Cricetulus griseus: one gene and its partners. The protein of the gene in region 2 interacts with the protein of the main gene of each other region in a biochemical or structural test. Links are inferred from orthologs where the notes say so. Each region holds a gene or a part of one and is shown on either strand. Other genes may lie near its edges. The genes, in order: Cyth2, Arf6, Arfip2, Cyth1 and Htr2a.

The links.
Region 1: the proteins of Arf6 (region 2) and Cyth2 form a complex in vitro, tested with the Homo sapiens proteins (3 studies listed by BioGRID and IntAct, with this or other methods). The link is inferred for Cricetulus griseus from reciprocal best matches to the Homo sapiens genes ARF6 and CYTH2.
Region 3: the proteins of Arf6 (region 2) and Arfip2 form a complex in vitro, tested with the Homo sapiens proteins (2 studies listed by BioGRID). The link is inferred for Cricetulus griseus from reciprocal best matches to the Homo sapiens genes ARF6 and ARFIP2.
Region 4: the proteins of Arf6 (region 2) and Cyth1 form a complex in vitro, tested with the Homo sapiens proteins (2 studies listed by BioGRID and IntAct, with this or other methods). The link is inferred for Cricetulus griseus from reciprocal best matches to the Homo sapiens genes ARF6 and CYTH1.
Region 5: the proteins of Arf6 (region 2) and Htr2a form a complex in vitro, tested with the Homo sapiens proteins (2 studies listed by BioGRID). The link is inferred for Cricetulus griseus from reciprocal best matches to the Homo sapiens genes ARF6 and HTR2A.

What each region holds. Positions count from the first base shown.
Region 1 is NC_048599.1:154,706,898-154,713,149, reverse strand, and holds the start of Cyth2 (cytohesin-2), read left to right. Parts: upstream 1-2,220; 5' UTR 2,221-2,411; coding exon 2,412-2,430; intron 2,431-2,649; exon of another isoform or gene 2,650-3,500; coding exon 3,501-3,648; intron 3,649-3,744; coding exon 3,745-3,811; intron 3,812-4,288; coding exon 4,289-4,407; intron 4,408-4,931; coding exon 4,932-5,012; intron 5,013-5,596; coding exon 5,597-5,709; intron 5,710-5,880; coding exon 5,881-6,029; intron 6,030-6,252. UniProt on the Homo sapiens protein: Acts as a guanine-nucleotide exchange factor (GEF). Promotes guanine-nucleotide exchange on ARF1, ARF3 and ARF6. Activates ARF factors through replacement of GDP with GTP.
Region 2 is NC_048598.1:133,996,827-134,003,031, forward strand, and holds Arf6 (ADP-ribosylation factor 6), read right to left. Parts: upstream 3,655-6,205; 5' UTR 3,475-3,654; coding exon 2,947-3,474; 3' UTR 228-2,946; downstream 1-227. UniProt on the Homo sapiens protein: GTP-binding protein involved in protein trafficking that regulates endocytic recycling and cytoskeleton remodeling. GTP-bound form plays an important role in the transport of multiple palmitoylated proteins form the Golgi to the plasma membrane.
Region 3 is NC_048596.1:94,062,281-94,068,348, forward strand, and holds the start of Arfip2 (arfaptin-2), read left to right. Parts: upstream 1-2,319; 5' UTR 2,320-2,469; exon of another isoform or gene 2,470-2,574; intron 2,575-3,249; 5' UTR 3,250-3,291; coding exon 3,292-3,390; intron 3,391-3,609; coding exon 3,610-3,706; intron 3,707-4,369; coding exon 4,370-4,488; intron 4,489-4,660; coding exon 4,661-4,882; intron 4,883-5,418; coding exon 5,419-5,576; intron 5,577-5,722; coding exon 5,723-5,897; intron 5,898-6,068. Other genes in the region: Timm10b (mitochondrial import inner membrane translocase subunit Tim10 B), read right to left, coding at 1,560-1,736, 1,900-1,995, 2,143-2,172. UniProt on the Homo sapiens protein: Plays a role in constitutive metalloproteinase (MMP) secretion from the trans Golgi network. May have important functions during vesicle biogenesis at certain cargo subdomains, which could be predominantly utilized by secreted MMPs, such as MMP7 and MMP2.
Region 4 is NC_048600.1:130,746,986-130,752,562, reverse strand, and holds part of Cyth1 (cytohesin-1), read left to right. Parts: intron 1-3,245; coding exon 3,246-3,312; intron 3,313-3,588; coding exon 3,589-3,707; intron 3,708-4,048; coding exon 4,049-4,129; intron 4,130-5,013; coding exon 5,014-5,126; intron 5,127-5,577. UniProt on the Homo sapiens protein: Promotes guanine-nucleotide exchange on ARF1, ARF5 and ARF6. Promotes the activation of ARF factors through replacement of GDP with GTP.
Region 5 is NW_023276807.1:229,101,117-229,106,693, reverse strand, and holds the end of Htr2a (5-hydroxytryptamine receptor 2A), read right to left. Parts: intron 2,576-5,577; coding exon 1,773-2,575; 3' UTR 826-1,772; downstream 1-825. UniProt on the Homo sapiens protein: G-protein coupled receptor for 5-hydroxytryptamine (serotonin).

The DNA of each region.
Region 1 (6,252 bases), on a different chromosome or scaffold from region 2:
TACTATATATGATATAAATACAGATCTCTGTCTTTTCTGTTGGTTCCTGTAATAAGATGTGAACAGAGTCAAGCCAATTGGAGCCCCTTGCAGAGATCTTAGAAGACTTACTTTAAATCCCAGCAACTCCAAGTAACTTCAGGACTTTAGGCAAACCTTTCCTTGTGTTGCTTCAGTTCCTGGAACAAGGGCCACTAGAGCATGAAGTTCTCCAAGGGTCCTCCCAAACAGGATGGCCCTTCACCTGATGGAGGCTAGGATACAGTGCAGGTCCTAACATTTCCTGTCCCCACCCTCATACTGAAACACACAGCATTCCAGGGGTAGTTGGAAGGGGATACTGACTTGATGGCTGGTTCCATATTGTATGTAGATTATAGGACCAGCAAGAGGAAGCAGGAGCTATCACCAAGAGTCAGTGCTCCAGGTCAGGGGCTGGGGATGGAAGGGGCAGCTGTTATCTCCAGGGTCATGTTCACTGTGAGAAAAGTGGAATTCTCAGGGGAGCCCTATCATTGTAGTAAAGGCTCAGGAGCTCCAGCAGGGTGCCTGTGTTTCTGGAATGTTGGTCCTTGTTCTTGGTCTTCACCCATAGTACAGCCACCTAAGTGCCCAGCAGGCTGGTGGCCAGCAGGAGGGGAGCTGCCAGGAGGAGGGAGTGCCCTCTCCCTTGTTCCCAACAGAGAGCCAGCATTGGCACTGGCTTGCCTGAGTGAATCCACCCACCCATGCCCTCTCTGGCTCTCATCTTGCTTTATCCTTCAGAATCCCCAGGTAATAACCGGACAGGATTAATTAGCTGGCAGCTCTCCCACCCCTGGGTCTAGGGCAGGGAAGGACTAGGGATGATGGAGACCATAGTGGAGAAAATTGCTAAGCTGATGTAAAGAGGCAGGGGCATGTGGTTCTATTGGGAAGTAGAGGGTGGGATAGGATTGGCACAACCAGGTCTCCAGCAAGGGAGGGCATGGGTCAGGCCACTCATAAAGGTCAGAGAGGGGATTAGGAGGCTCCATGACTAATCCAAAGACTTAACCAAGTCCTGGCTCTGAATCCTCCCGACCTGTGCAGCCCAGGGACACAAATGAGGACAAGACCTGGAAGTCACATCAGCCCCATTATGGGCCTATGATTTACAAATATGCCAGAGTCCCCATCACAGACAGGACCCTCACTGCTTTTCCTGCAAAACAGAAAGGATTCTGGGAGGGGGAGGCGATTAAGAAGGGCAGGACTTTGAGGACTGAAAAGCTGGGTGGAAGGAGGACCTAACCACAGAGACCTGGAGTGCTGCCAAGAGAGTCAGTGCACATTCTGGAGGCAGAGGCAGACAGATCTCTGTGAGTTCGAGACCAGCCTGGTCTACAAGAGCGAGTGCCTGTGACAGGCTCCAAAGCCAAGAGAAGCCCTGTCTCGAAAAACCAAAAAAAAAAAAAAAAAAAAAAAAAAAAAAAAAAAAAAAAAGATTCTGAGGGAAGAGGATGTCTTGGGCAAATATCTGGGGAAGGCGGGATTTTAGGAGGAGGAAGCTAAGACGAGCGTTTAGGAGAGAGGAAGAGCCTGAAAGAGAGAAAGCACCAGGAGGGTAGATCCAGGGTATTTGTGGTCCCCAATACATTTGGAAGGGATAATGCCTTTATTTTACCATCCTTTGACTGAGGAGACTGAGGTGTGGAGGAAAGTCACGTGAGGTGGTACGGAAAGAGTTCAGAGACAGCCACTGCCTGAGACAGAAGTACCCTGAGGAAGAAGGCAAAGACAGGACTGTGCGGCTCCCAGTTGCTTGGCAACCGCCGCGGTCAAAAGCTAGCGTGGAGGGCCAGGAGGTGTGGTCCCAGGAAACACCTCAAGGTTGAGACTCCGCCCTTGACAACAAGACTAATCAAATACCACCCCCTAACAACGAATTTCTGAAAAGGTTAGGCCGTCTTAGTCTGGCTCGTGCGCAGGCGCAATCCTCCCTGCTCCACGAATCCCCACCTCCTGCTCCCTCCTTTTTGAGTTTTCTTATTGGAGGATAAAGCTGCCAGGGATTTTCCTTTGTTTCGGGGGCGGGACCAAGCCCCTGGACGCACTTCGATTGGTCACTCTAACAGTCTATCGCTAGCTGTACGTGCCTGCAACCGCTTCTTGTGTGTCTATTGGTCCTGGAAATGATCCTGTGGTTTCGGGGGCGGAGCAGTCTGGGAGACCCGCAGCCGATTGGGTGGTGTCAAAGCGAGGGGCGGGCCCCAGCGGCCGGGCGGTTGGGCCGTGAAGGGAGAGTCTTTTCGGCGCTGAGGACTGGCGCTGAGGAGGCGGCGGTGGCTCCTGGGGCGTTTGAGCGGGCTCACTCGAGCCCGCGGGCCGACGCGGACTCAGGCCCAGCCGGCGGAACCGCCCCGGACTCCCCGCGGGCTTTTCTAGCCGCCATGGAGGACGGTGTCTACGGTAGGCCAGGCGAGGCGGGAGGGCGGAGTGGCTCCCAAGCCCCGCCAAGGACAGCCGAGCGGTGGTAGCGAGGCGCTCTTGTGCGCGCGGAACGGGCTTCCGGCGCGACCGAGAGCCGGGGGTCCCGGCCATTGTTTGGGCCGAGCCCTCTTCCGGCGGCGGCGGGCGGGGCGGGGCGGGGGGGCGGGGCGGAGCGACAAGAGCGGGGCGGGGCGGGGCGGGACGTACACCCGCGCGAGCCGCTGCCTTTCTTGCTGCGAACCTTGGTTCTGTGACCTCCCTACCGATCCTGACCCCGGTCGTGATGCCATGGCTTGTCTTCACTGAGCACCCAAGATTCAGACCACAGATCCAGGAGCCAGAACCTCGGTTCCTTTCCAAGAAAGGCACCCAGGATTCAGGACCCCAACTCTCCCACTATTGTGGAGCCAGGGATCAGGCCTCCTTACAAGAAATGTATCCAAGCTCCATGCCAGGGTCCCCACCGTGGTGGACCCAGGAACCAGAGTATTGGTGTTTTTCCAAGAAATGCACCCAAGGTCCAGGATCCCAGGTCATCAGCCATGATGGAGGGACCTGTTACCTTCCAAGAAATACACCCAGGATCTGGGGCCCCAGATCCCTTGCGATGATGGAGCCATGAGCCCAAGGCCCTGTGTCCTTCCAAGTAATGTTTTCAATATCCAAGCCTCCCGTTCTACTGTGATGGAACCAAGGAACCAGGGCATCCAAGTAAAACATCTAAAGTAACATCCCAAGAGTTCCTCATTGTGGTGATGGGTCCAGGAGCCCAGGGACTGGTTCCTTTCCAAGTAATACACCCAAGATTTAGGTCCACACTTTCATGATGAAGGCAGGGCTCCATCTTTCCAAGTAATGGGCCCAGAAGTTCATCCCCAGACCTATTAAGAGATGAGATTCCCAGGCACTTCTGCCCCAGACTAAGGGTTCAGAGTCTTACTCCCTCTTCCCTAAGAGTTGTAGTAGCCATTTCTCTTCTGGACAGGAATCCAGGCTCTTAGCCTTAATCTTGGCCCCCCCAGAACTCATTTCCTGACCCTGACTCCTAGAGCCCCCAGACTTGACTCCGGAGGAGCGCATGGAGCTAGAGAACATCCGACGGCGTAAGCAGGAGCTGCTGGTGGAGATCCAGCGCCTGCGAGAGGAGCTGAGTGAAGCTATGAGTGAGGTGGAGGGTCTGGAGGCCAATGAGGGCAGGTGAGGACTGTGGCGAGCTCGTGGGACACAGGGCTTGGCCAGGGCCCTGGATGCTCAAGTGTTGACCTTTGGCTGCTGCCCATCCTGCTTTTGCAGTAAGACCTTGCAGCGGAACCGGAAGATGGCAATGGGCAGGAAGAAGTTCAACATGGACCCCAAGAAGGTTAGTTAGCTGAGCAGATATATTCAGGCATGGTTTTGATATCCTAGGTTCTAGAAGTGTTAAGATAATAGGTTTCCTCTAGGCAAGACTCCTGATCCCTGTCCATCTGTTCCATGAATGTTCATGTACTGAGGCCTCTGGGAGCCCGGTCCTGTGCTGGGCAATGCTGGGAATGCTAAGACCCTGCCTTACTCTGAGGGATCCCCCTAGGTGTAAGTGCTACAGTTCAAGGTGAGATATGGCAGTAAGGGAGGGGTGCTGTGTTTACAGCTTGATGGGTAGGTATCTGCTTCTTTTTTTATACAGTGTATCATGTATTCAATTATTCTTCAAACCTGTTCCAGCTATACATGCCGGAATCAGTTAGGCAGAGGTTGAGAGGATGGGCTAGGGATGACCATGCTCTGTTAGGGTGGAGAGGCTTGGATGGGGAGCAGCAGCCTCTGCCTTGGCATAAATCTGGCATCCTCCATCCAGGGGATCCAATTCTTGGTAGAACACGAACTTCTGCAGAACACACCTGAGGAAATTGCCCGCTTCCTGTACAAGGGTGAGGGGCTGAACAAGACAGCCATTGGGGATTACCTCGGGGAAAGGTGAGCTGCCCAGCCTGTACAGTAGTACTCCCAGCCTCAATAGGAGTTCATGGGTAGAGCAGGTTTGTGGCCTCCACCTGGGTCATGATATAGTGGACTGACTGGCTCTGAGGGAGCTTGAAACTAGAGGGAGATGGACCTGTAGTCATCCAGTAAACAAGGACACTGTTGAAGTCTGAGTGTCACTGGCTTAACCACGCATATACAAGCTAGCATATGGAAAGTATTGTCTGGAAGTTTTTATCATGGGTCAGAGCTGCAAGTGTTTGGAGACCTGTGGACATGTGATTGCATAGCAACTGGGAACTAGCTATGAATTCTTAGACAAAGGTCAGTTCTGAGATAAAGGCATCTGGGAAGCGTGAGAGCAGTTGCAAGATGACATCAGGTGGTCTGTGTACTCAAAGATCTGACAAGCTACAAGAACAAGGTTCATCTGCAGGAGGGTGGCATAGTAAATGAGATGATACTGCTATGGCTCCTGTCACTCCTCCTGATGGGACTCTCTCTCTTCCCTCCTCCAGGGAAGAGCTAAACCTATCTGTGCTCCATGCTTTTGTGGATTTGCATGAGTTCACCGACCTTAATCTGGTGCAGGCCCTGCGGTGAGAATGGGACAGAAATGTACCTGCCAGGACTTTCTCAGTTGTGAGGAACATACCATTCCAACAGAGATGCAACAGTCAGGAAATGACTGTCTCTAATAAACAAGTTCAGATGGGGCCTCCTTCAGGCTTTCTCTTGGTGTATTCAGTGGATCTTCCTACATGACAGCAAAAAAGCACCTGGCAACCCCAGTCCAGTTTAGCCAACTCGGGGTAGAAAAAAGACTTTTCCACTATAGATCCACCAGAATCCATGGCCAGAACCTACTGGTCTGATCAAATTACATGCCTACTGAAATAGCAGCTGGGGCAAGAGATTTTGATTCTGTTTGTTTGGGGGGTTGGGGTTCAGACAGCATTTCACCGTGTAGCCCTGATTGGCCTGGAACTCAGTAGACCAGGCTGGACCCGAATTCACAGAGATCCACCTGCCTCTCCCTCCTTCCTGGGTGCTGGGATTCAAGGTGTGCATCACAATGGGCAAGGTTTGGATAATGATTTGTCCGATTCTGACAGAGACTTAAGAAAGTAGAGTGTTTTCCCAGCCCTGAAACCTATGCCAGACCAATTTCTCCCCTAACCAGGCAATTCCTATGGAGCTTTCGCCTCCCTGGAGAGGCTCAGAAAATTGACCGGATGATGGAGGCCTTTGCCCAGCGATACTGCCTGTGTAACCCTGGGGTCTTCCAGTCTACAGGTAGGACCAGGGGGCAAGGCCTGGACCTATAGTCTGTAGAAAAAGTGCTGAAATCTGGACTGCGTTTGAGGGAAGATGCTGGGATCTGGATTCCCAGACTTTGAGGCTACAGGACAAAGAGTTTGGGAAGGTCCTGGGTCATCACCAGCTGCCTTATTTTATCTGGTACAGACACCTGCTACGTGTTGTCCTTTGCCGTGATCATGCTGAACACCAGCCTTCACAATCCCAACGTCAGGGACAAGCCAGGCCTGGAGCGCTTTGTGGCCATGAACCGGGGCATCAATGAAGGCGGAGACCTGCCTGAGGATCTGCTCAGGGTCAGTACTGTTCCCAACCCCACCCATCTTCCAGCCTCACCACCCATTGTGCTCCAGGGTCTGCCAGTGCCTGAACTGCTCACAATGGCATAGCCATGACCTCCTCTTCTGTTCCCAGTTGTACTGTCTGGCCCTTGGTTCTTTCCTGTGTCTCCTCTCAGGCTCTGGTGGGTCTTGCTCTTTTTTCCATCATCTCAAAGAACTTAACAGGGTTCCTCACCAT
Region 2 (6,205 bases):
CAAAGGGGAAGGGAGGCCTAAATACCTTCAGTTGTCACAGAACACGGATTGGTAAAATTAAAACAGAAAACACCTTAAATAGCCACTATTTAGGGGAGAATCTTTTTTATCTTTTATAAGTCAGATGAGTCTCAAATTCACTTTTTACCATATATCCTGGAAAATAACATAGCCCAAGATACCAGTACATCCCACTTATCTACTCCAAGTAACATAACGTGAGAAACTGCACTGTGTAATTCCTTTATTTTCTGCATGTTAGTGCTTCAGCAACACTACAACCATAAAGAACAATTCCAAGGACTGTACTTTTTAGCTGGGGGAAGGGGGAATCACAGTCTACAGACTCATTTACTTATATTAGACAAGATTAACCTCATTCAGAACTTAGCAAGTTTATAAATTCACACAAATACAGAAATTGATGCAATTAAACAAAATCTTTAGGACCTTATTTTTGTAATTCTTCCATTATAACTTTTTCTGCAGGCTCTAATTTCCTGCTTCATAATCACCAATGGTTATGGTTCAATTTAACTACATCAATTATAAACCTTTTATATATACTCTTAAAGAAATGTAAGTGAAAATTACAGTTTCTTTCCAAAAGGTTTAGGTTTTCTTCAAATTTCAAATGTTTCCCCCCTCCCACCCTTTTCAGACATTTCAAATAAACTAAAAATAACCCATCTCACCTGCAACATTCAGTAATAGCAATCACTTGTATAAAATTTTAACTATGCCCCCAGTTATTTTAAGACACACAAAAAAATGGCTGTCTACCAATCTGTCTGTCACAAGTTAGAATACTACATTTAAGAATCAACATGAGGGTTTCAAGTTTCCTCCAGTTTAGGCATTTATACCTTTGTGCTTATTTTGTTTCAGGATGTTACTGTAGCATTGATATTTGTATAACCATATTTATGTACCTTAAAATGTAATCATTTAAAACACTAAGAATTACATTTACGGTGGAGCTTTGGGAATTTTTAAAAGCAACTATAATGTTCTTAAATATGTGAATCAGCTTCATTTCTAGAGATATTTTTATTAATGTGAAACTGAGAACTTTAGGTTTTAGTTGCGTCTTGATTTCAAAATCCCTCTGCACCAATAGGAGCCTACAACATAGCACCTTTTCTCATCTGCTTTTAGTTAGTTTTACTTACAGCTCATTTTTGTATAGCCTTCTGTTTCTCATACATCTTTGGTAAAAGCTCCATTATACAATATGGCCAAAACATGAAGGACCAATACTGTCCAACGATACCATGATATCCGGCTTGACTTTAGTTTTCAGACACCCTCATAAACAGAACCATTCCACCTTTTCCTGTATCCTGCCCTGGCAGTCTACATTTCCGAAACTCCCTAAGTTTCATTCCTTGAGGATCACTACATTAATCCTTAAGGCTACACAAGAACCAGATGCTGCTTCACAATTCTGAATCAACATTAACATTTGGTTCAAAATTATCACCATAGTGGTCTCAATCTAGTAACTGGTCCTAACCAGCTCATCTTGTTAAGATCTGGATATCACCAGAGAGCACAATGCTTACCCTTAAAGAAAAATAAATTTACATTCATTGTCATCTGTAGGTTCTTTCTCGTCATCCTACTCCCTGTGTCACCCCTCCAGTCTCCATCACTCATTCAGCACATTTCTTCCTTAAAGGAGACGATCTACGACTGAACCAACAGGATATCTATTTGCATGAGTTAATACTACAATCAAGCAAAACTAAATACCTTTTTTTTAAATAAAACATCTTTTCCAGTGTTTTAATTAATGGAGATGTAGATCACTCATCTATTTAAAAAAAAGTCATATATCTTCAGTTTAATCAGTTGCTGTAATGTGAAAACAGGAATGTGTATTTTTTTTCCAGCTAGGAAAAGGTGCATATAATTTGACTTTTTAAATGTTTTATTAGTGAACAAAGTAAATGTTTAGTAATTTTAAAGCTACTTGTCTTAAGAGATTTGAAACAAGGTAACATATGCCGATTTTGCCCGAAAGTCACTTAAAATATCTACAAATATTTCATCTGTGTGGCGTACACCATTATTGCTCCATTTTCTGGAAAGAGTCTATTTTTAAAGGAAGAAGAGAGGGAAATAGCAAAGTTACTAACTTTGCAGTTTAAAAGATCTGCCCCCTTGTAGAGGTGAGTTGTTTTATGCAGCGTACGTTAGCTATGGTGAGGGAACTTGAGTTTACTCCTACTCATGCACTTTAATAGCTGACACCTGAAGGGATTCCCTACATTACCTGTTTCACACACTGATGTGCAACTGGAACATTACACTGGTATTACTCATTATTTTGCCACTGTGGGCTAAGTTCACCATACTGGTCTTGGATATAAAAGGTCACATTTGAAATTGCTAAAGTTAGCACTAACAAGGAAAGGGGGAAGGCCTTAAATATAAAAGACAAACGGCAGTTTGATTAAGCAATAATTTTCAGTTTACTAGATGAAACAGACTCGCAACATAGTCTGCATGAATGCAAAATAAGCCATCTACAGCAAGTGGTAAGAAACTGGGCAAAAAGGAAAAAAGCATACATTGGGGGGAAAAAAAGATTCTCTCGACATAAAAAAATCAAACCATTATTATAAAGGATTTTACCAAGAGCTGCTATTACCCCACCCCGTTTGCTGGAAGTCACAAGAGCATCTAGCACTGTTTTCGTGTCAAATATCAGATCAGAGCATCCTAACGCAAAGCCAAAAAAAAAAAAAAAAAAGAAAGAAAGAAAAAAATAAAGAAAAAGAAAAAGAGGAAACCCCAACCCCACTAAACCGTAGAACAGTAACTCCAGAGTTCAGATTCAAAAAAGAAAGTGGCAATTGAAAGAGGTTGATGATGGTGGCGATAATCCTATGAATGGGTTTTTGATTTCTCTCCTTCCGGGGGATGGGTGGAGGATGCTCATTAGGATTTGTAGTTAGAGGTTAACCATGTGAGCCCCTCATAGAGTCCGTCCCCGGAGGTGGCACAGGAGGGCTGCACATACCAGTTCCTGTCCCGAATCCGGGTCAGGCCCAGTTTCTCCTGGATCTCATGGGGTTTCATGGCATCGGGCAGGTCCTGCTTGTTGGCGAAGATGAGGATTATGGCGTCCCTCATCTCCCGGTCATTGATAATGCGGTGCAGCTCCTGGCGGGCCTCGTCGATGCGGTCGCGGTCGGCGCAGTCCACCACGAAGATCAGACCCTGGGTCCCGGTGTAGTAATGCCGCCAGAGCGGCCGGATCTTGTCCTGGCCGCCCACATCCCACACGTTGAACTTGACGTTTTTGTAAGTCACCGTCTCCACGTTGAAACCCACCGTGGGAATGGTGGTCACCGACTGGCCCAGCTTCAACTTGTACAGGATCGTTGTCTTGCCGGCTGCGTCCAGACCCAGCATGAGGATCCGCATTTCCTTGTTCCCGAAGATCTTGGATAGCACCTTCCCCATCGCGTCGGAGGAGCCGGGGCCGGGGGCATTCAGGTGTCCCGGGTCCCCTCAGCCTATAACGCCGCCGCCGCTGCCGCCGCCGCCGCCGCTGCTACCGCCGCGAGATCGAAACGGAGCCGCCCCCGCGCGAGGACGCCCTGCGTGCGGCCTGCGCGAAGCTGCCTGCTAGGGGCAGGGGCCCGGCCTGCGCTCACTCGGGCATCGCCCGCCGCCCGGGCCCTGCGTCTGCGCCGGGGAGAGCCGCCGCCCTGCTGAGGCGAGGCGAGGCGCGGCCGGCCCGGAACTGCCCTTCCCCCGCAGGCGCCGCCGACAGCAGCTCCGCCGCCGCCTCGGCACGCGGCGGCTCAACCGCGGCCCTCCCGCCGGCCCGCGAGCACCGGGCTCGCCACCGACCCGGGTCACCCGACGAGGAGCGCGGCTCCGCGCCCCGTCAGGTCATGGATCCTCGCGGGAACTCGGTGCTGCCTGCAGGGACACAGAGAAGGGAAGAAGGGAGTTACCGCCGGGACTCCGTGGGTGCGGAGGCCGACGCGGCCCGCCGGTCGGGGATCGGCCCGGGAGGGTTACCTCCAGCTGCCGCCGCCGCCGCCCCGAGCGCGGGTTCCCTCCGGCCTGCACCTCCTCCTCCTCCTCCCAGCTCTGCCGCCGCCGCCGCTGCCGCCGGAAAAGGCGCCGAGGAAACCGCCTCACTTCCCCTCCCGACTGCGCGTGCGCAACTCGGCCCGACCGTTCGGAAGAGCGCGACCTCAGTAAGGAGAGTGGTGGCCCGCGCGCCCAACGTCACGGGCGCCACGCGCCGGGGGGCGGGGCTACGGCGGCTCGCAGGACCCAGGGAGGCGCCTCGCGGAAGCCCGGCGGCGCGGGGTTGGCGACGCGCCCACCTGTCGCTCTCCCGGGGGGTCTTCCCCGGTTTTTTCCTCCTCCGCCGCTCGGAGGCGCGGGGTGCAAAGCCGCTTGCGGGGTGGGCGTCGTCGGCGCTGGAGACCGACGCCCCCACCCACGCTGCCGAGGCTTGTTCCCAGACTCCCCGCGCAACGTCCCTCCCGCTCGCCCCAGCCTGCCAGCAACACGGTCTCCTTTCTACCCGGTCGCCTCCCGACTTCCTCCAGCTTCCTGGAAGACACGTGGGAGGTCGGCGTGCCACCGAAGCCGTCCGTCAAAGTAGCCCTCACTTTTTTCTAGTCTTGGGTTTGCTCCGAAACCCTGCTTTGGAACGTTTAAACTCCTTCTCTTTGTAAGTCTCGTCGGAACCGCCCACGTTTCTTAGGAAAAGAGTATCAGGGCCGACGACAATGAGGACCTGTGCCCCAGGCTCAGAACGCATAGGGTGAAAGGAGAAAACTCCCTTAAATTGACCTCTGGGCTGCACGAACAATAAGGAAACCTATTTGGGTTTTGTTTCGGTTTTTTTTTTTTAATACTTTCTCATTTAGTGTCCGTGTGCGCAGGAGAGGTCAGAGGACAACTTGCCAGAGTCAATTCTTCCACCATGCGGGTCCTAGCTATCAAACTCAAAAGTCATCAAGCTTGGCGGCCCCCACCTTCACCTGCTAAGCCAGCTGGTCCTGGAAACATTTTTTGTATTAAATGAATAGTGTTAAGGTTAGAATAGAAACTTTAAATATCAAATAAGGGCAGAAATAAACACAAGGGGAGAAAAGAAAGTTAAAAGAAGTTGTTACAACAGCGTTTGATAATAATACTGTTTCTATTTTGTAACCTAAGAAAATCTGTAGCCACCAGCGAGACAAGGTGGCTCAGCCTGTCCCCGAACTGATGAAAGTGAGGCATAAATTCTAGGCCAGCCTAGGCCTAGGCTGTCACCATTTGACACGTAATACATTTAATGTTTAATTCAGGCTGGAGTCCCAGGCTGGCATCACATTCACTGTGTATAGCTCAGGATGTTCTTGAAATTATTATTCTCCAGCCTCCACCTCCGAGGAGAGGGGATAGGGTTAGGATTACTGGTGTGACCCCACTTATGGAACAACCGGTACTTGAATCCACACCAGGCTTTTCACTTGGGTGCTGACTGAAGGTTTGAACTCTGGTATTTGTGCTTACAGAGCAAGTGCTTTTTAGCCTCTGAGTCATCTCCCCAGCCCCAATAACAAACTATTAAAGAATAATTATAATACAAAACAATTAACAATGGCAAGAACATAGTCACTGATAGTGAAAATTTTAAACTTGGAATATCATGCCACTTTCTAAAAATAGGTCAATTTGGGGGCTGTTTGAGATGGCTTAGTGATTAAAGCACTTGCCACCACTCCGGACTTGAATTCAATCCTTGAGATCCACATGGTTAAAGGAGACCTTATTCCCACAAGTTGTCCTCTGAACTCCAGTAGCTCTCGCCCCCCCACACACACACACACGAAACACCGAATAAGACCTATTTTTAAAAATGTAAGGTGGTGTGTGCCTCTGACCCCAGGGCTCGGGAGGCACAGGCTGATGATTATCTGAGGCCAGCCTGGTCTACAGACCAAGCTCCAGGACAGCCAAGGTTACATAGTGAGCTCTTGGTTTTTTGTTTTGTTTTAAGTTAAGCTAAATGTTAATATACAAAAATACTTTCAAGTGGCAACAATTTAGGAAACTACTAAACCATACCACAGATGAAACATTTTATTTTCTTGATTCCATCTAGCCAATAAATTTTATATGAATTTTTTATTATCATATTAGTGGTACATAACAATCAGTCTCATTTTGACATTTT
Region 3 (6,068 bases), on a different chromosome or scaffold from region 2:
GCTGCCTTCAAACACAAAATTCGCAATCTGTGAAGTGCTGGGCTTGTAGGCATGCATAACAAGGCTTAGAGCAAGAGCTGTGTTTTAACACGAAGCCCACTATTTCAATTTTTTGGCTGGCCAGCTCTTGGGCAGTAGAGGCAGGAGGATCAGGAGTTCAGGGTCATCTTTAGTTATTATGATTTACATGTCAGTTTTGAGACCTCCCTCCCCAATCTCAAAAATAAAAAAGTAAAATGCATATTTATGACCTGTAGGTGTGTGTGTGGGGGGGGGATCTGCTTTGTAAATAGTTGATTTTGGCTGGGATTTTAAAATTTAATTCCTTGGTAAAAAAGGAAAGCTGTTGCCATACGTGAAAGGATGGGATGGGATTAAGCAATGAAGAGGTAATGGGTAGCTTAGGTTGTTAAGAGTCCCTGCCTGGCATGCACAAGCCCTTGAGTTGAACCCCCAGTAAAACAACAATAACAAATGCACATCCCATACTGTTGCTTGCCCTGCATCCTGCCATTATCCTTGAAGCCCCACATGGTAGTATATGCCATTTCCTCCTTCCTTCCTTGTCCTCATACTGGAGATGACATCACGGAAAAGGCAGGGCCAGGAAAGGAGGTATCCTCCTGAATACAGATGTGAACCCCACAAAATGAGGGGGCAGTAACAAAACAAGAATAGAGAGGCTGGATCAGTTACGGTTGAGAACAATGTAAGATGGAAGGTAGAGAGCTGGAATTAGGAGATTCCAGACAAACAGTGAAACACTAAGGAAGCATTAGGAGCCACACAGATTATATTTAACCACCCCTCTATCACCATCTACCTTTCCCTTTGATTTCTCTTCTTTAGATTTGACTAATGTAGGCCTTCTGACTTGCCTTGAAGACAAGAAGAAAACCCTTCTTTGTTTAAAGTCCTTATTGCTGATTTCACAAAGACAGGAAATATTTAAGATGGTAAACTGGGGAAATGATTGAAATTCTAGACAATATTCCCACATTCTTACAGGCTTATCTTTGATCTCCTAAGAATTGGTGGCTAAAGCCTATTGTGGTGCTGTTTTCTTCTTCCTCTTGTTGTCTGATATCACATTCTTCCCCTAGATGCAGCACAATTCTTTTTGTATTACAGCTCAGAAGAAAACTAGTTATTATGCAATATATATTCAGGCATTTGAGTTAGGCTCAAGGATAGCCACTGAGAGCTCCCCTTTTGGAACCAATTTCCCATTGCTATTACTAACCTTAAAACTATGTTTTTGCTGGGGATCTGAGAATGCTGAGTTTGTCCTACTACATTACAGAAGGCAATTTCTCAACTGCCAGGGCTGAGGGGAGAAGATAGGCACTAAATGGCAGAATAAAGGTTGGTACCAATAAGTGGACATAAATAAATTCCTGCCCAGAAAATCAACCAGAGTAAAAACCCGGTTTATTGGCTCCAAGAAAAGGAGCAATAGTGCCCAGCTTTCAGGCTCAATCTTTCTGTACAAATTTCGACAAGCCCAAGGTTCATAGAGGAGCCCATCCAAGCACCTTCTCTCCTGGGGCAGGCGATGGCTAGCTGCCTGATGGCGAGTCTCTGGGTTGTTCTGCAGTAACACCTGGCACGGCCGAGGCAGCCTCGTAGTCCGCGATGCGGCGCTGGACAAGGGCGGGCATGAGGTGGACGTAAGCGGCCATGAGGCGGTGGTTAGAATGGATGAGCTTCCCAGCACAGCTGTGTAGACAGGCCTCCTGGAAGGAAGACAGAGGTAAGCAGAGACCAAAAGGGGTCCTGTCAAGCCCTCCTCTCCGGGGCCCCAGCCTAGGGGTGAGGTCATGGGAGACCGAGATGCAAACGGGGGGTGGGAGGTGGACACGTCACGTTGTCAACCTCTGGGGTCCCCACAGTCCCCACCTCCTCAGCGTCCAGAGCTCGGTGGTGCAGGCTGGGCACACAGCGCTGGAAGCACAGTTCTGTCATCCGATTGTAGACCAACAGGAAATCTCGCAACTAAGAGAAAAGCGGATCAAGGCTTCACCACCGCTGAGGGTTCCTGGCGTGCGCAGTGCAGCCTGCCTTCCCCACTGGGGGTTCTTGCATGTACCCCAGAAAACAAACCGCACGTCTAACCCCGAGAACAACTTAGCTCTTACTCACGTTTCTTAGTTGCTGCTGCTGCTGCTCCATCACGCTCGGGGCACGCAGCCCACTTTACTTCCTCCCTGGGGGCGCGGAGTCACCCCGGAAGTAAATTCTCCCTAGTCACCAAGAGCTTCAAGGCGTGGTTCCAGTATCGCCCAGCCCATGTCTGCTAACGTCACCTCCGCCCTTTTGCTCTGCGACGTGGCCGGCTTCTTCTGCCCAGAGGGCACGTCACTTCCGCCGAATCTCTGACCTGCTGCTAAGATCGCGACGGGAACTGGAACCCGAGGTCCCCGCGCGGTCCGGCCCTCGCGCCCTGAGGGGAAGAGTGGCCCGGCCCAGGTGAGAAGGACATACTTGTACGAAAGGAAGTTGAATGCACGAACCTGTGCGGAGGGCAAGATGCCCTGAGCCCTTGGCAAGGATGAGGACACACCTGATGCCCAGGTGTGTGGGGGGGTGGTGGAGGGGACCTCTCACATCTGGAAGGCATAAACTGACTTTGGAAGGGACTGCCTGTGTCCTGGGAAAGAAGCTTTTAACTGACACCGGGAACACACCAGCTGCTTCAACTAAGGCCTGGTGGGGAGGGCCTGAGGGAGGCAGGTGCATGAGATGGAGAAAGGAGAGACCATTTGAAGGAAGAGGGGAAGGAACATCAAAGGATTTGAAAGACCAGGGATTGCAGAGCATGCTTGAGTGGCAAGTGAGCATCCGAGTCTAGGAAAGGGTTTTGCCTTCTGGTAAACATGCCTATGCAGGGCCAAGTTCCCAAAGAGCACAGACATTCCCCTCTGGCCCTCACTGCTGTAATCCCATTGCCTCAGTATCTGACGCATAGTAGGCACTCACTAAGTGTTTGTTGAGTGACTGAATGTGTAAAGGTTACTAAAGGTGAGGTTGGGGTTTGTGAGAAGACACCCAAGGCTTTGGTATACATGCATCTGTAGAAATAATGTACTTGGAAGAGAAGAAATACACATCTCCAGGAAAGTAGGGGCTGATCTCCAGGGACACCCAAGTCCTAACAGACAACCCCTGAAACCTATTAGAACACAGGGAAGGCCTCCTTGTTCTGGAGTGCTGGCCAGTTTCCAGAATTGTCTGTGTTGGGCTTTACAGCGTGCTGGGGTGGAGACCTTGACTCCAGTACCTTCCCTAGCCATGACGGACGGGATCCTAGGGAAGGCAGCCACAATGGAGATCCCAATCCATGGAAATGGTGAAGCTGGGCAGCTTCCTGAAGACGATGGGCTGGAGCAGGTGCTTCTGTTTGATTCTTCTAATTGTTTCAATTTAGCAATCCTGACTCTTGAATGTTTCGCTTTTCCCATCCCAATAGACTTCATTTAGTTAGTCCTCCTTATAGTTTTCAAGTCGTCATTATGATTCTATACAGACTTTACTATATACTGTCTCTATCCCCAAAATATTTCAGCCACCCCCATGTTCCTGAAGTGCCCCCTCTTCTCTGATCTATAGGACCTCCAGCAGGTGATGGTGTCAGGACCCAACCTCAATGAAACTAGCATTGTGTCTGGTGGCTATGGGGGCTCTGGTGATGGACTCATCCCCACAGGTATGAATGATAAGAGACAGGAGGCTTGAGTGGGAGGGAGACTAGGAGGCACATAGAACACATAGGAAAGCGTGAATCATGGATTGGAGAAACTTGAGAACTGCTAGTGTGAAATCCATAGACTGTCCAATCCCAGATCAGCTCTCTGAGCTCATCATCTGCTTCCCACTTGCCATTTAGATTCTAGCTTTCTCAATTGTCTTTTCTTTCCCTGGTGCCACCACCTGAGCCAAGTTAAGACCTATAAGTCACAAGAGCTCTGCAGCTTAAGGCTGATTTACAACTTTGTGAAGCTTCTCAGAGTTTTATAAGAGTCTTATACTGACTAAAATTCTACTTGGAAATACAAACCAGCTTCCCTGTTTTCTGTGCCCACCAGCTTTGACCCTTCCAGTCCCACTCATCATGTTTGCTTCTGTTTCTTCCTTCCCTGTCCACCCAACAACACTCCTACACGACCCCAGGAATGCCAAATACATACATTGAGTTGCTTTGGTTTTCGGGACCTAAGTCCCCGTTCCCCCTAATGAGCAGAAGAATTCAGTTATCTAGATTTCCTCTTTTAGAGAGGTCATTTCATGTGCTGGGAGGGAAGGAAGTGAGGTCACAGAAGTATCTGATTGTATGTGAGAGAAATTGGTGTTAGAGAACTTGATCCTTTAGGGTCTGGCCGCCATCCATCTCACAGCACCTCACCTTCTGGCCCTGGTGATGAGGTGGCCCGGGGCATCGCCGGAGAGAAGTTTGACATCGTCAAGAAATGGGGCATCAACACATATAAGGTAAGAGTCGAGTGCCTCTTCCCAGAAACTCTCCATGGGTACCTTTTCCTTTTCCCCAGATCTTAATACATAGTCTTTTGCTATGACTAAGAGAATGGGGGTGTTGGAGTAGTTACTTGTCGGGGTTGGGGTGGAGTTTAGATTTCTGACCTCCCACCCACTTCCCAATCAGTGCACAAAGCAGCTGTTATCAGAGAGATTTGGCCGAGGCTCCCGGACTGTGGATCTGGAGCTAGAGCTGCAGATTGAGTTGCTGCGTGAGACGAAGCGCAAGTATGAAAGTGTCCTTCAGCTGGGCCGGGCACTGACAGCCCACCTCTACAGCCTGTTGCAGACCCAGCATGCACTAGGGGATGCCTTTGCTGACCTCAGCCAGAAGTCCCCAGAGCTTCAGGTGCCTCAGCCAAAACAAAGAGGGTGGGGGTACTGGGCCCTGGCCCTTCCAGGCAGGCATTCCTCAGCCTCCCTCCCTCCCTCCTGCAGCCCCCAGGGAGAACCCCTCTGGGGTGTGCCCAGTCCTGCCCCCAGCATCACTCACCTATGGAGGCAGCCTAAGGGTTTGTACAGAGGTCCAAAAGTTGGAGGGGTTGTGGGAGAGGGCGCTCTGGTGCCTCACAAGTAACCCTTCTCCATATCATCAAGAATGCCTTTGGTGCTTGGCCTAATCAGAGTCCCTCCCCTGCCTGCTGCACTAGCTTTCCCTGTTCCTGTCTTCTAAACTTACCTAAGACTCTACTCCCACATTCCTACCCCAGGCATCCCCTAGGCGACCCTACTAACTTTGTGGCTAAGAGAGCCTTGCTAGAGGCAGTCTGGTTGTTTTAGTTTTGATGGCTGTTTCTTCTTTGGGACAGAAGGAAATAAAGGGCTCTGCAGCTCCAGTCAGGTAAGGACTCTTACTCAAGGCCTGTGCCTCCCTTCTGCCCATAGGAGGAATTTGGCTATAATGCAGAGACGCAGAAGCTGCTGTGCAAGAATGGGGAGACGCTACTAGGGGCTGTGAACTTCTTTGTCTCTAGCATCAACACACTGGTCACCAAGACCATGGAAGACACACTCATGACTGTCAAACAGTATGAGGCTGCCAGGTGTGGGCACTGAAAGGGCTCAAGGTTTGGGAAGTTGGCTGGCATGGGTGAAAATTCGAACATTTAGGGGCATACAAGTTCAGGAAGGAAAGAGTTACATGTATGGATGAAGAGGTGGAGACCAGCCTTTATCACCCCCTTCCCAGGCTGGAGTATGATGCCTACCGGACAGACTTAGAGGAGCTGAGCCTAGGTCCCCGGGATGCAGGGACACGTGGTCGACTTGAGAGTGCCCAGGCCACTTTCCAGACCCATCGAGACAAATATGAGAAGCTGCGGGGAGATGTGGCTATCAAGCTCAAGTTCCTGGAAGAAAACAAGGTGCTGCCCTACTCCCTTGGTCCTAAATCACCTTCCCATCTGACAGTGCCCTTCCCTTCAGACTCTCCTGATTGTGGGTGGGGAGATGCAGCCAGGCTAGGGACTGGGTTCCCCTAGCCCCTTGATACCTGAGCACTTTCAGTTCACCTTCCTGATCACTGGCCTTTGTTG
Region 4 (5,577 bases), on a different chromosome or scaffold from region 2:
TTTTTTTTTTTTTGGTTTTTTGAGACAGGGTTTCTCTGTGTAGCTTTGGAGCCCTGCCAAGTGGAATTTTTATCTTAAATTTTTATTTATGCACTTATTTAGTGGAAGTGGGCACACATGCCTCAGCACACAGGTAGTCAGAGGAAGGATTTCTGGAACTAGTTGTGTCCTGTTGTGTGGGTCCAGGGACTGATTTAGACTGTCAGCATAGCTGCAAGTCCCTGTGCTGCTGAGTCATCTCACTCTTCAGGAATGCATGTTTATTGCAGTAAGCTGGAAAAAGATGGAGAAGCACGAAGAAAACAGATTTCCCATCAGCAGCAGCCCAGAGAGAACCACGATTAATATCATGGTACACTTCCTTTCTGTGTCTTTTGATGCCATCGCACATGCGTGGGCTTCTGGGGTTACCATGGTCCCAGTGTGCACCAGACTCCAGCAGTATTGGCAGTGAGGCACTGAGAACACTCAGCTGGTGAACTTAAGAAACCAGGTTTCTGCTCACTGGGGCTCAGTTCTTCCCATGCAATCCTGATCTGCCCATCGTGAGCTAGACAGTCATGGCTGGTTTGGAGATGTTCTGTCTGAGTGGACAGCAGGGTCCCGTGGTTTTGCATAAACAAGCAACACCGTCATCTGATGAAGCTTAAAGTGTGAAAAATGCCCTCAAAGGGACACACAAGAGCTGACAAGATGGCTCAGCACACAACGGTGCTTGCCTTGCAAGCCTTGTGACCCTGGGGTTCTGTTCCCCGGTGGGAGGAGAGCACTGACCCCACAAGGCTATCTTTTGACCTCCACGCCCACACATGCACGTTATGTAGGTGCACACAAACAATATTAATAAATAAAAAGATTTTAAAGGCCACATAAAGAAGAAGATGGACTTTCATCAGTGCGTCTGTGAGCCCAGAGCCACACTTGAGTGATTTATGGTTTAAACTGGAGCGCAAACTGGTTTTCCAGGATTGCAGACCCTGAAAGGGGAGCTTTCCAGGAGATTCTGAGCATCTGTGTAGTCGGGGTTTGTTACTCGTTCTGGCTTTTCCATGGGTGGGTTGTCATGCTTCCAATCAAAGGCCTGATTAGCACTCGGTAGCAGTGACTCCAAATGCTATGTAAGAAGTAGAGACAGTGTAATACTACGGGTCGTAAAGCCTTCTCAAGTTAACCTAGTTGTTAAAGCTAGTACCCAAGGGAGGCTGTGCTGAAGTTGGGACAGCTGACCCATATGCACTGACAACATTAACCAGACAACTACAGTGACTGGGCCGTCAGTCACAAATAACAATGCTAGACAGGTAGGGGACAGGAGCTGACTCACAGAGCTGGGAACTTTGGCTGCATCCTGTGAGTATACCAGGCAGTCATAAACTACAGATGGCTTATGACTACGGATGGCTACGGATAGGAGCTGATTCATGGGAACCAGTGAAGTCAGCCAGTCACCCTTGTGGTGCCCAGGGTGGTCAGAAGCACCAGTTGTGGCTGGCAGAGATCTGGGAGTGTACTGCTGAAGTCTGGGCTTGCCAGAGGCCAGAAAGCCTCCAGGAAGGAACCAAACCAAGGCAAAGAATGCCGAGGGCCAGTGTGGATGGTAATGGGCCCTGCCATTGTAGGATTTCCAAGTATTGAACACTCTTATAGGAAATCACCAAGCAGCTTCTTCCTTCCTTCCTTCCTTCCTTCCTTCCTTCCTTCCTTTTTTTTGAAATATGGATCACAGTAATATTCCTGGATTTAGGGAAAACATAATTAGATAACTAACCTGAGACTTACACCAGTTCATTCCAAACCTCAAGTCAGCCTGGCCAAGCATGGTGGGCTCACATCTGTAATCTCAGCATTTGGGAGGCAGAGGCAAGAGGAGAGGTGTGAGTTTCAGCCCAGCCTGAGCTACAGAATGATCCCTGTCTTAACCAGGAAAAAAGAAAAGAACAGAGGGACTTTTCTACCTTTGGGGGATCTGGCCAGTGCTGAGGTGCTCCTTAAGACAATAAATAAATTATTTCTGAGTAAAACATTTGCTCAGAAACTGTAACTTGCTATTGGTTCTCAAGAGTATACCAGACAGGAGGGTTTAAATATCACCTAGATGCTACCCATAAAATGGGGTCACTCAGTGGCCCAGAACCTGTAACCCAATTTGTCTGTGGGACTGAACAAATGGGCAGGAGCCCTGAACCCTTCCCAGACCACTGGGTGACAGAGCTCCTGTCAGGGCCCAGGAGCATGTGTGTGAATGAGCGCTGGTATTCTGCATGTCTGACTTGCTCCCTCAGCTGTTCGGGAACCACACCCTGAGAAGCAAAGTGTGTAACCTGCACTTGTTTAGTCTGAGGCACAGCTAAGAAAACTGCTGCTTATTTGTACAGCATCTTAAAAAGCTAAATTTAAAAAAGTACGTAACCCTTGCCGGGCTTGGTGGCGCACGCCTTTAATCCCAGCACTTGGGAGGCAGAGGCAGGTGGATCTCTGTGAGTTCGAGACCAGCCTGGTCTACAAGAGCTAGTTCCAGGACAGCCTCCAAAGCCACAGAGAAACCCTGTCTTGAAAAACCAAAAAAAAAAAAAAAAAGTACATAACTCATCTATATACAACCTTGACTTTGCTGAAGGAAAACATGTCGACCACAAGGTGGGCAGGTGCTTCTGTAGCAGCTCTGTGGGTAGTGACCCCAAACCTGACTCTGCATCAGTCGTCTGAAGAGCAGATAGAGGTAGATGTGCAGAGGGACGCTGCTCAGCAGTAGACAGGAGTGTTGTGCTGACGAACCTTGAAGGCAGCATGCTGAGCTAAACAAGCCGGGAACGGAAGTCCAGACACTCCGTGATTCTGCATATATGAAAAGTCCAGAATTAGGCAGATCTGTGCTTAGAAGATAGACTGAGAGTCCCTGGGGCTCGAAGTAGGAATGTCGGTGAACTGGAAACGGGTGTGGTTAATTTTATGGGACTGATGAAAGTGTTCTAAAACTGGTTATGGTAATTGTTGCACAACTTAGCTTACTAAAAGCCATCCAGGTGTATACTCAAAACAGACAGATTCTACAATATGTAGACAACAAAGTTTAAGAAAATAAAAATTCTAAGAGAAACCATGAGTCTAGAGGGAAAGAGGCAAATGAGCCTGAGCCTGAGCCTGGGCCAGGGCGTCAGCTGACCACGCGTCTGTCAGTGTGAGGACTGCTCCAGCCCCCAGAATGCCCTGCAGTCAGGGCACTGATGGCTGCCCTTCTCTTTCAGGAAAAACATGCAGAGAAACAAACAGGTAGCCATGGGCAGAAAGAAATTCAACATGGATCCTAAAAAGGTAAGTGAAAAAGAAAGGGACAAAGCCCCTGCCCAGGTCTTAAGGTGGGGGCTTTCTTGGTGATGGGATGGAGACTGGATGAGTTTGTTCAAAGCAGCTGTTTTCTGGAGTTACTGTTGGGTGGTTCCCCCTACCGTCTTGCATCTGGGGCTCCGGTTCCTAACCTGCAATACTCCATCCTTGTGTCCACTGGTGGATGTTTCCTGGACACAGGCTCCAGGGCCCACACCCACGGCGGCCTTTACCCTTCCTCATTGTCACCGGCTCTTTCTGCAGGGGATCCAGTTCTTAATCGAGAATGACCTGCTGAAGAACACTTGTGAAGATATTGCCCAGTTCTTATACAAAGGGGAAGGGCTCAACAAAACCGCCATTGGTGACTACCTTGGGGAGAGGTGAGGCCTTTAGAGAGGGTGGTCAGAATCAGGTCAGAACAAGCCCCCTGGTGCCCAAGCTCGTGGGATGACTGTGGGATGCTAGTGCAGCAGTGGCCATATGGTGTTGAGTGGAGGTGCTCTGAGGAGCACTCACCCGTCCAGGGCTATGTAGCTTCCTGGCTTGTTTAGTGAGGAAAGAGGGCCAGGCCAATGTCCTCCCAACTGTGGATGTTCAGGCTTGAGAGGCCTCGTGGCCTGGGACTCAGGATACCATCTGCTTGGGACCAGGATGGGTCCTGGCCTTAGTGTCCACGACCTCACCTGTGCTCCATCCCTGTCTCTTTTTGGCTTCCTGACAGAGATGAGTTCAGCATCCAGGTCCTGCACGCATTTGTGGAGCTGCATGAGTTCACCGACCTGAACCTCGTCCAGGCCTTGAGGTGGGTGTTGTCAGCCAGGCACCGTGGAGTGGGAGTGTGTCCATCCTGTGTCTGTCTGACCAAAGTCCTGTCATTGGGGTTGTTGTGACTACTTTCAAGTATTCCAAGGGAGGCCATGTAACATACATGCCTGAGTGGGAAACCATTCGCTAGGACTGTCTTGGTCTTGGGGTGGAAAGACTGTTCATCAATCAAATATTGAAATTGTTTCTACTCTTCAGAATAGAAAACCTTTAATTTCTTACCCTAAACTAGGTAGTTGTGTATTTCATTTTAAAATTGAACAACAAAAAAAAGACAAACTTTTTTTTTTGTTTAATTTTCAAGACCAGGTTTATCTATCTAGCCCTGGCTTGTCCTCATTCTGTAAACCAGGCTGGCCTTGAATTCACAGAGATCCTCCTGCCTCTTCCTCCAGAGTGCTGGGATTAAAGGCGTGCGCCACCACTGCCCAGCAACTTTAATTTTTTAACCAAGTTTATTCTGTGCCTTTTAAAGAAATTGTCTTTTTAATTTTCTCTGCTGTAGGTATAAATCCTGAGCTTATTTTTTTGAGCTATGATTTTTTTAATGATTTATTTATTTATTATGTATGCAGTGTTCTGTCTGCATGTATCCCTGTAAGGCCAGAAGAGGGCACCAGATCTCATAACGGATGGTTGTGAGCCACCATGTGGGTGCTGTTAACCCCTGAGCCATCTCTCCAGGCTTTGAGCTATGATTTTAATACATGTAGTAACTGCAGAAATCACCCTGTGGTACTGTACCCAGGAGACTTGTCACATGACTGAAGCCCCTCACCTCCTTTGTCCTCTGCTGTCCTCTGCTGCTGTCCTCAGCAGCAGCAGGTCAGGTCAAAGCAAAGCTCCTGTCTCTACCCTTAGGCAGTTCCTGTGGAGCTTCCGGCTGCCTGGAGAGGCCCAGAAGATTGACCGAATGATGGAGGCCTTTGCTCAGCGATACTGTCAGTGCAATAATGGGGTGTTCCAGTCGACAGGTGAGTGAGGAGTCCTCTGTGCCAGTGTTGTGTCGGGAGAGCTTTTTCTACAAGGTTCTCTTCTTGGCAGTGAGGATTTCTAAGACAAGAGCTGAGTCCATGCAAAGAGCAGTTCCTCCCTCCCTCTCTTCCTTTCTTCCTTCCTTCCTCCCTCCCTTCGTTTCTTTCCTCCCCCTCCTTCCTCCCCTCCTTCCTCCCTCCCTTCCTTTCTTTCTCTCTTGCATTCCAATTCCAGTTCCCTCTCCCTGCTGCCCTCCCGCCTTCTCCCTACCCCACCCCCTCCATGGCTCAGAGAGGGTGAGTCCTCCCATGGGGAGTCAACAAAGTCTGTCACTTCACTTGAGGCAGGACCAAGGTCCTCCCCCCTGTATCTAGGCTGAGCAAGGTATCTCTCCATAGGGAATGGGCTCCAAAAAGCCAGTTCTTGCACTAGGGATAAATACAGGCTCCC
Region 5 (5,577 bases), on a different chromosome or scaffold from region 2:
CGGTGGCTGACTTTGTTAGTGATCATTTCTACCAAACATTATGGTAACTGATATTTGCTTTTTAATTGGGAGCTAGTATCTATCAATAAAATGAATGTAGTTTTAGAGGGTAGGAACAAAAATATTGCTTTAAACCTTGATCGTCATGAATTGGATCCAGTTTGAGGTGCTTATTTCTATATATAAGTTGAAATCTTTGATTCAATTGATATTTTCCCATTTTCTTGCCTGCTTGGCAAATGAGAAAAATTGAAACAAACAAACAAACAAACATTTTCTAGAGTAAATACAAACTCTTTTCCGAATCAGGTAAGAAAGAAATTGAACTGATTGATCTTCAAAATAAATCTGTTCATACTTTTTTACAATGACCAATTAAGTTGTCATTTTTAAATGCAAAGATCTTATAAATTTATTTTTATATCTTTAATAACTAAGGAACTGCTCCACTCATAAGATACAGTACATAGATCACTGTGGAACCAAGCTAACCCATTTTAATAAATAATATAAATACATTTAACCTGAAAGTATCAACTTTAAAAAAGCCTATATTTATTTATTTTCTTTTGGGGGCAGGGTTTCATGCAGTCCACACTGACTTGATAAATAGCTGAGAATGACTTTGAATTCCTGATTCACCTGCATCTCCCAAGGGCTAGAATAATAGGCATGCACCACCTTGCCCTGTGGATCCAAGCTAGTGCTCGCAGTGCTGGGGAATCCTGCATGCTAGAGGAACACTGTTATCATTGGAGCTATATCCCCAGCCCTTTGAAAACATCAGTTTTACCTGATTAAGTGTCAATAAGAAAGTCACTTGACTTTTTTTTTTTTTTTCAGAAACAGCCTAAGAAGCTACTGCTAACAGCGAGAAACCTGAGTTTATTGTTTAGCTGTGGCAGTCAAATCAATGTACTGGTCACAGCTCAAAGGGCGCATGCACAATGCAGTGGTCCCACAGTGCGTGACCAAATACCTCCAGGGTGCTGTTTCTTTGAAGCGCGTTCTAGAACTGTATTTCGAAAAGCAAAATTATCCTTTGATAGTTTACAGAGAGGAAAATATACGAAACAAGATCACATTGCAAATTCAGGTTAAGCCCAAGAAGTAGAAGAGAAAGCAGCACGTTATTGAGTAACATTTAAAACCCTTCCACATCTGAGAATTAAATGACAAATGCAGCAAATGCCAGCGATCTTGTGAACATTTCAAAATGGCATCTATGAAAAGGCAAGAATGAAAAATATTGTCAAGTATTTCAATTAATTTATATTAGCAATACAAATTTCATAATACTATTTTTTATTTTCAAAATATGTGTCATGGTGAATTTTAAACACTTTTTTAAAAGAGGCTATTCATTATTTTAGTATTTCTAGCTATTTTTATATACAATAATAGTTCACCAACTCACTCCTGCGCCACCCATCAACAACATGGCAGCAAGGTTTCAATTTGAATAATAGAAATTAATTAGATTGATTTTATGCCTCATTGTAATTGTACAGTAAAGTACAATGATCTTAAAGATCTCACTGACAAGGTTAAAAGGACAATGATAAAACCATAACACTCAGCTCAAATGCCGTCAGGACATTGTCCAAGTGCACATTTTGTGGTACACTGCTCTTCATACACAGAATACAATGAGGCATATAGATTCTGTTGAGTCACTGGAGTAGTCTAATTTGTCCCAGCCTCCTTATTCCCACCCCCACACACAAGGGCTAAAAACTTGTTCAAGTGCCAGCGTCACAGCAACCAGTCCGTCACACACAGCTAACCTTTTCATTCACGGTGTTGATATTGTCTGTACAAGTCTCTTCTGATTGTTGTTTTCCTAGTGTAACCATAGAGCAGTCATTATCTGTCGGCTCAGCGTCTTCCTTAGAGTCCTTATTTTGTCCCGCCTGGAGCTGACTAGACTTGTAGGCCAACGCCGGTATAGTGTTCACTAAAATTAACTGCAGTGGCTTTCTGTTTTCCTTGTACTGACACTGAATGTACCGTGAGAAGGCAGACCTGTAAGTCTTATTGAACAGTGTATAGACCAGTGGATTGACAGCCGAGGAGAGGTAACCAATCCAGACAAACACATTGAGCAGGGCTCCGATGACATGTTCGTTGCAGGACTCTTTGCAGATGACGGCCATGATGTTGGTGATGAAGAATGGGCACCACATTACGACAAACAGAAAGAACACGATGCCCAGCACCTTGCACGCTTTTTGCTCATTGCTGATGGACTGCATCGTCCTTCTGCCGGTGTAGGAGCCTGGCTCCCTGTGGATGGACCGCTGGAAGAGCTTTTCGGATGACAGAGAACTCTGAGGCAGGAAGCTGAAGGAGGCTAATTTGGCCCGAGTGCTGAGGTCACTCACACACAGGGTGGCTTCTTTCTGAAGGGACTTGATAGTGAGGAAGTAGGTGATCACCATGATGGTTAAGGGGATGAAAAATGCCACAAAAGAACCTATGAGGACAAAATTGTCGTCGGCCAGCAGGCAGCTCCCCTGCTTAAAGACCTTGGAGTCATCCTGCAATCCAAAGACTGGGATCGGCATGGAAACACCTGGAAGGGAAGCAGGGTGAGACACGTGATCAAGCAATTGCGTATATGAAGGTGAGAGTATCACTACAAAATGCTGGCTGGTCAAAGAATTTATACCACCTTACTTTAAGGTTTAATATATTACTGCAATGAGAGTTGGGCTAATTCTTACTCTATAGTTTTTCTGATTCTATTTTGGAGAAAACATACACAGAGGCAAAATGAAGCAAATAAAAAATGACCACTAACACCTCCATCCAGAGACCAACAGACAAACTTCCGTGGGCAATTTAATGTTGTTTGTCTTAAGCACGCATCACACACATCACGCACGCGTGCACTCACATACTGGGAAGAGGAACAAGCTTCTACTTTATCTACTATTTTGCAATTTTCCATTTCACATTATATTTTTGGTTGCGAGCCTAGCCTTTAACGGCTGAGCCATCTCTCCAGCCCCATTTCACTTTATATTATCAGCATATCTTACTTTGTAAAGTTACAAGTCTAATATAGTTCCTTTTTAGCAAATCTGAGAAATATTTAAAAAGTAAATAAATAAAATAGCATTTATTCTCACTGCCAAGGGAACATAGGTTACATTTCTTTTGTTTACACAGTACTTTATAGGCAGTTTTAGATCTTCCTTTCCCATTTTATATTCATTATAAGACTGAATTGCTTTTGCTTGCTGAGACAGGGTCTTACACTAGACCAGGCTAGCCTCAAACTCACATAGATCCCACTTCTTCAGGTTCTTGAGTGTATTTGCCAACATGTACAGCTTTAAAGTTAAACAAGTTTTTAAACTATTTTTGAAAAAACACTTTCTGATACTAATTTCAGATAATCCAAATGAATTTGGGTTAGCTTTAAAAAGCTTTTATCTTGGAGAAATTTTAACATCTGCAAAATCCAAAAAGAACAAAGGCAAATGTTGTCCCAGGGAAGCCTTATAGCATTTACACTTGTGAGCTCAAAATGAATGTTGTGTCATCTTTGTCTGGGATGGTCCTCCTTGTTGTGAAGTAAACCTCAGACATCACATGATTAAACAGGTATACATCTTATTGTGTAGATCTAAAAGTGACACACTTTCAGAGAAATCTTCGATCACATACTGGCTTAACCATGAAGAGAAACTTACTGTTTCCTTCACATCATGAAATATAGAATTCGTGTTCAGACTTCTCATTGTTTCATAAAAGTCATATATATTCACAGCAGAATACCTGATAGGATGAATTACCGAAAACAAGACAGCAGCAGACTTTTATTGTCAAATGTATGACTTAGGTACACTGGAACATGGGCTTGCAGCCAGTGAGTTGCTCTATGCTCAGATTTGGAGCATCTCTAATGGTCCTTCAGGTACACGCTCAGGCAGAGGAGTACAGCAGCGAGGAAATATCACAGCTGGCTCTGATCATGCTAATTTTTCCTCATGGTGATTGGACCCTACTTTGTGAAGTTTAGCTTGACCTTGATGGGAAGTTTTGTTCCTATTTGGAGCTCAGGCAATTTGAAAGAGGCTGATTAAGCCAAAGCAACCATGGTTCACTTCTTGTTATGTTATTTTCTCTGCCACAAAGGCAGAGATGGGAAAGGAGAAGAAACAACTGCAAAACTCACTCCAAGTTTGCCTCTTTCACCAAAGGATGGACAGAGGCTTTGTTTCCTTCCTGCACTTTTCCTGTATTTTCAGTTTCCCAAGTTGCCTGATAGAGGGCCCTGGTGGTGCTTTCAGAGGCTCTGTAGCCCCAGATGCTGCTCTCAGGCCAGCTCAGCACAGAGTCAGGGGCCACTGCTTAACCCCTGCCTTGCCATCCAACAGGAAAAGTTTCCTTTGAGGACGTGTACTACAAACACTGCAGCAGCAGTAACAGCAGCAACGACAAAACAAGAGACAAATAACCAAACTCTGCATGGTCAGAAATGAGTTTGGCGCTCTCCAAACACCGGTGTGGCTGTCCTAACATTCTGCTGTTGGGAGGGACAGTAGCTGGAACTTAAGAGTGATATTTCGCAAGAACATCTGTCTGTCTCCCCCGCCCTCTTGTGTGTGTGTGTGTGTGTGAGAGAGAGAGAGAGAGAGACAGAGAGAGAGACAGAGAGACAGACAGAGAGAGACAGAGACAGAGACAGAGACAGAGAGACAGAGAGACAGAGAGAGAGTGAGAGAGAGAGACAGAGAGAGACAGAGAGAGAGAGAGAGAGAGAGAGAGAGAGAGAGAGAGAGAGAGAGAGAGAGAGAGCGCTTGCCCACCATCTGGGGCCATATTGGAGCCTAAGGCTGCCATCCTCCTTAATCACTTCCTCACTTTATGTTTTGAGACGGGAATCTCTCACTGAACCCAGAGCTTGCCATTTAAGCCAGACTGGAAGGCCAGTGCCCCCTGATCTATCTGTTTCCATCTTGCTAGTCCAGATGGCCAGTGAGCCCTTGATCTGTCTGTCTCCATCTGGTCCCTCCCTTTTGCTGCCATGCCCAGATTTTTGCATGAGTATTTAGGATCCAAACTTGGGTCCTCATACTTGCCCGGCATACACTTTGCCCCCTGAACTGTTTTCCTAGTCTGATAAGACTCCCTTTGAGTGTCATTTTCCCATAACTCCACAGTCTCTAATGATAATATTTGTCACTTGTCTATGCAAGATCATTCCAGATTTTTTTGTTTGTTTTGTTTTGTTTTTGGAAGGTGAACATAAATGACATCCAGTGATAATTTTTGTGGTAAATAACTCTTAATTTATTGCCACTGTGTCCCTGCCACATTGTTGAGGACATCCTCTGAGCCAAGAGTTATGACTGTAGGGGAACCCTCCTCTGAGACCTTCTGATACCTCACCAAATTTCAGAAAACTAACCCTAAAAGATAACCTATGATTTATAAGAGAGCTTTCTTTTTCTGCCAATATTTGAACTCATATCTGTGAGAGATGCTTCTTGTAGTCATCCAGTCTCATTATACAGACTCCCTGCTTACTGATTAGAATGGATACACTGGACATCCATTTCAGAT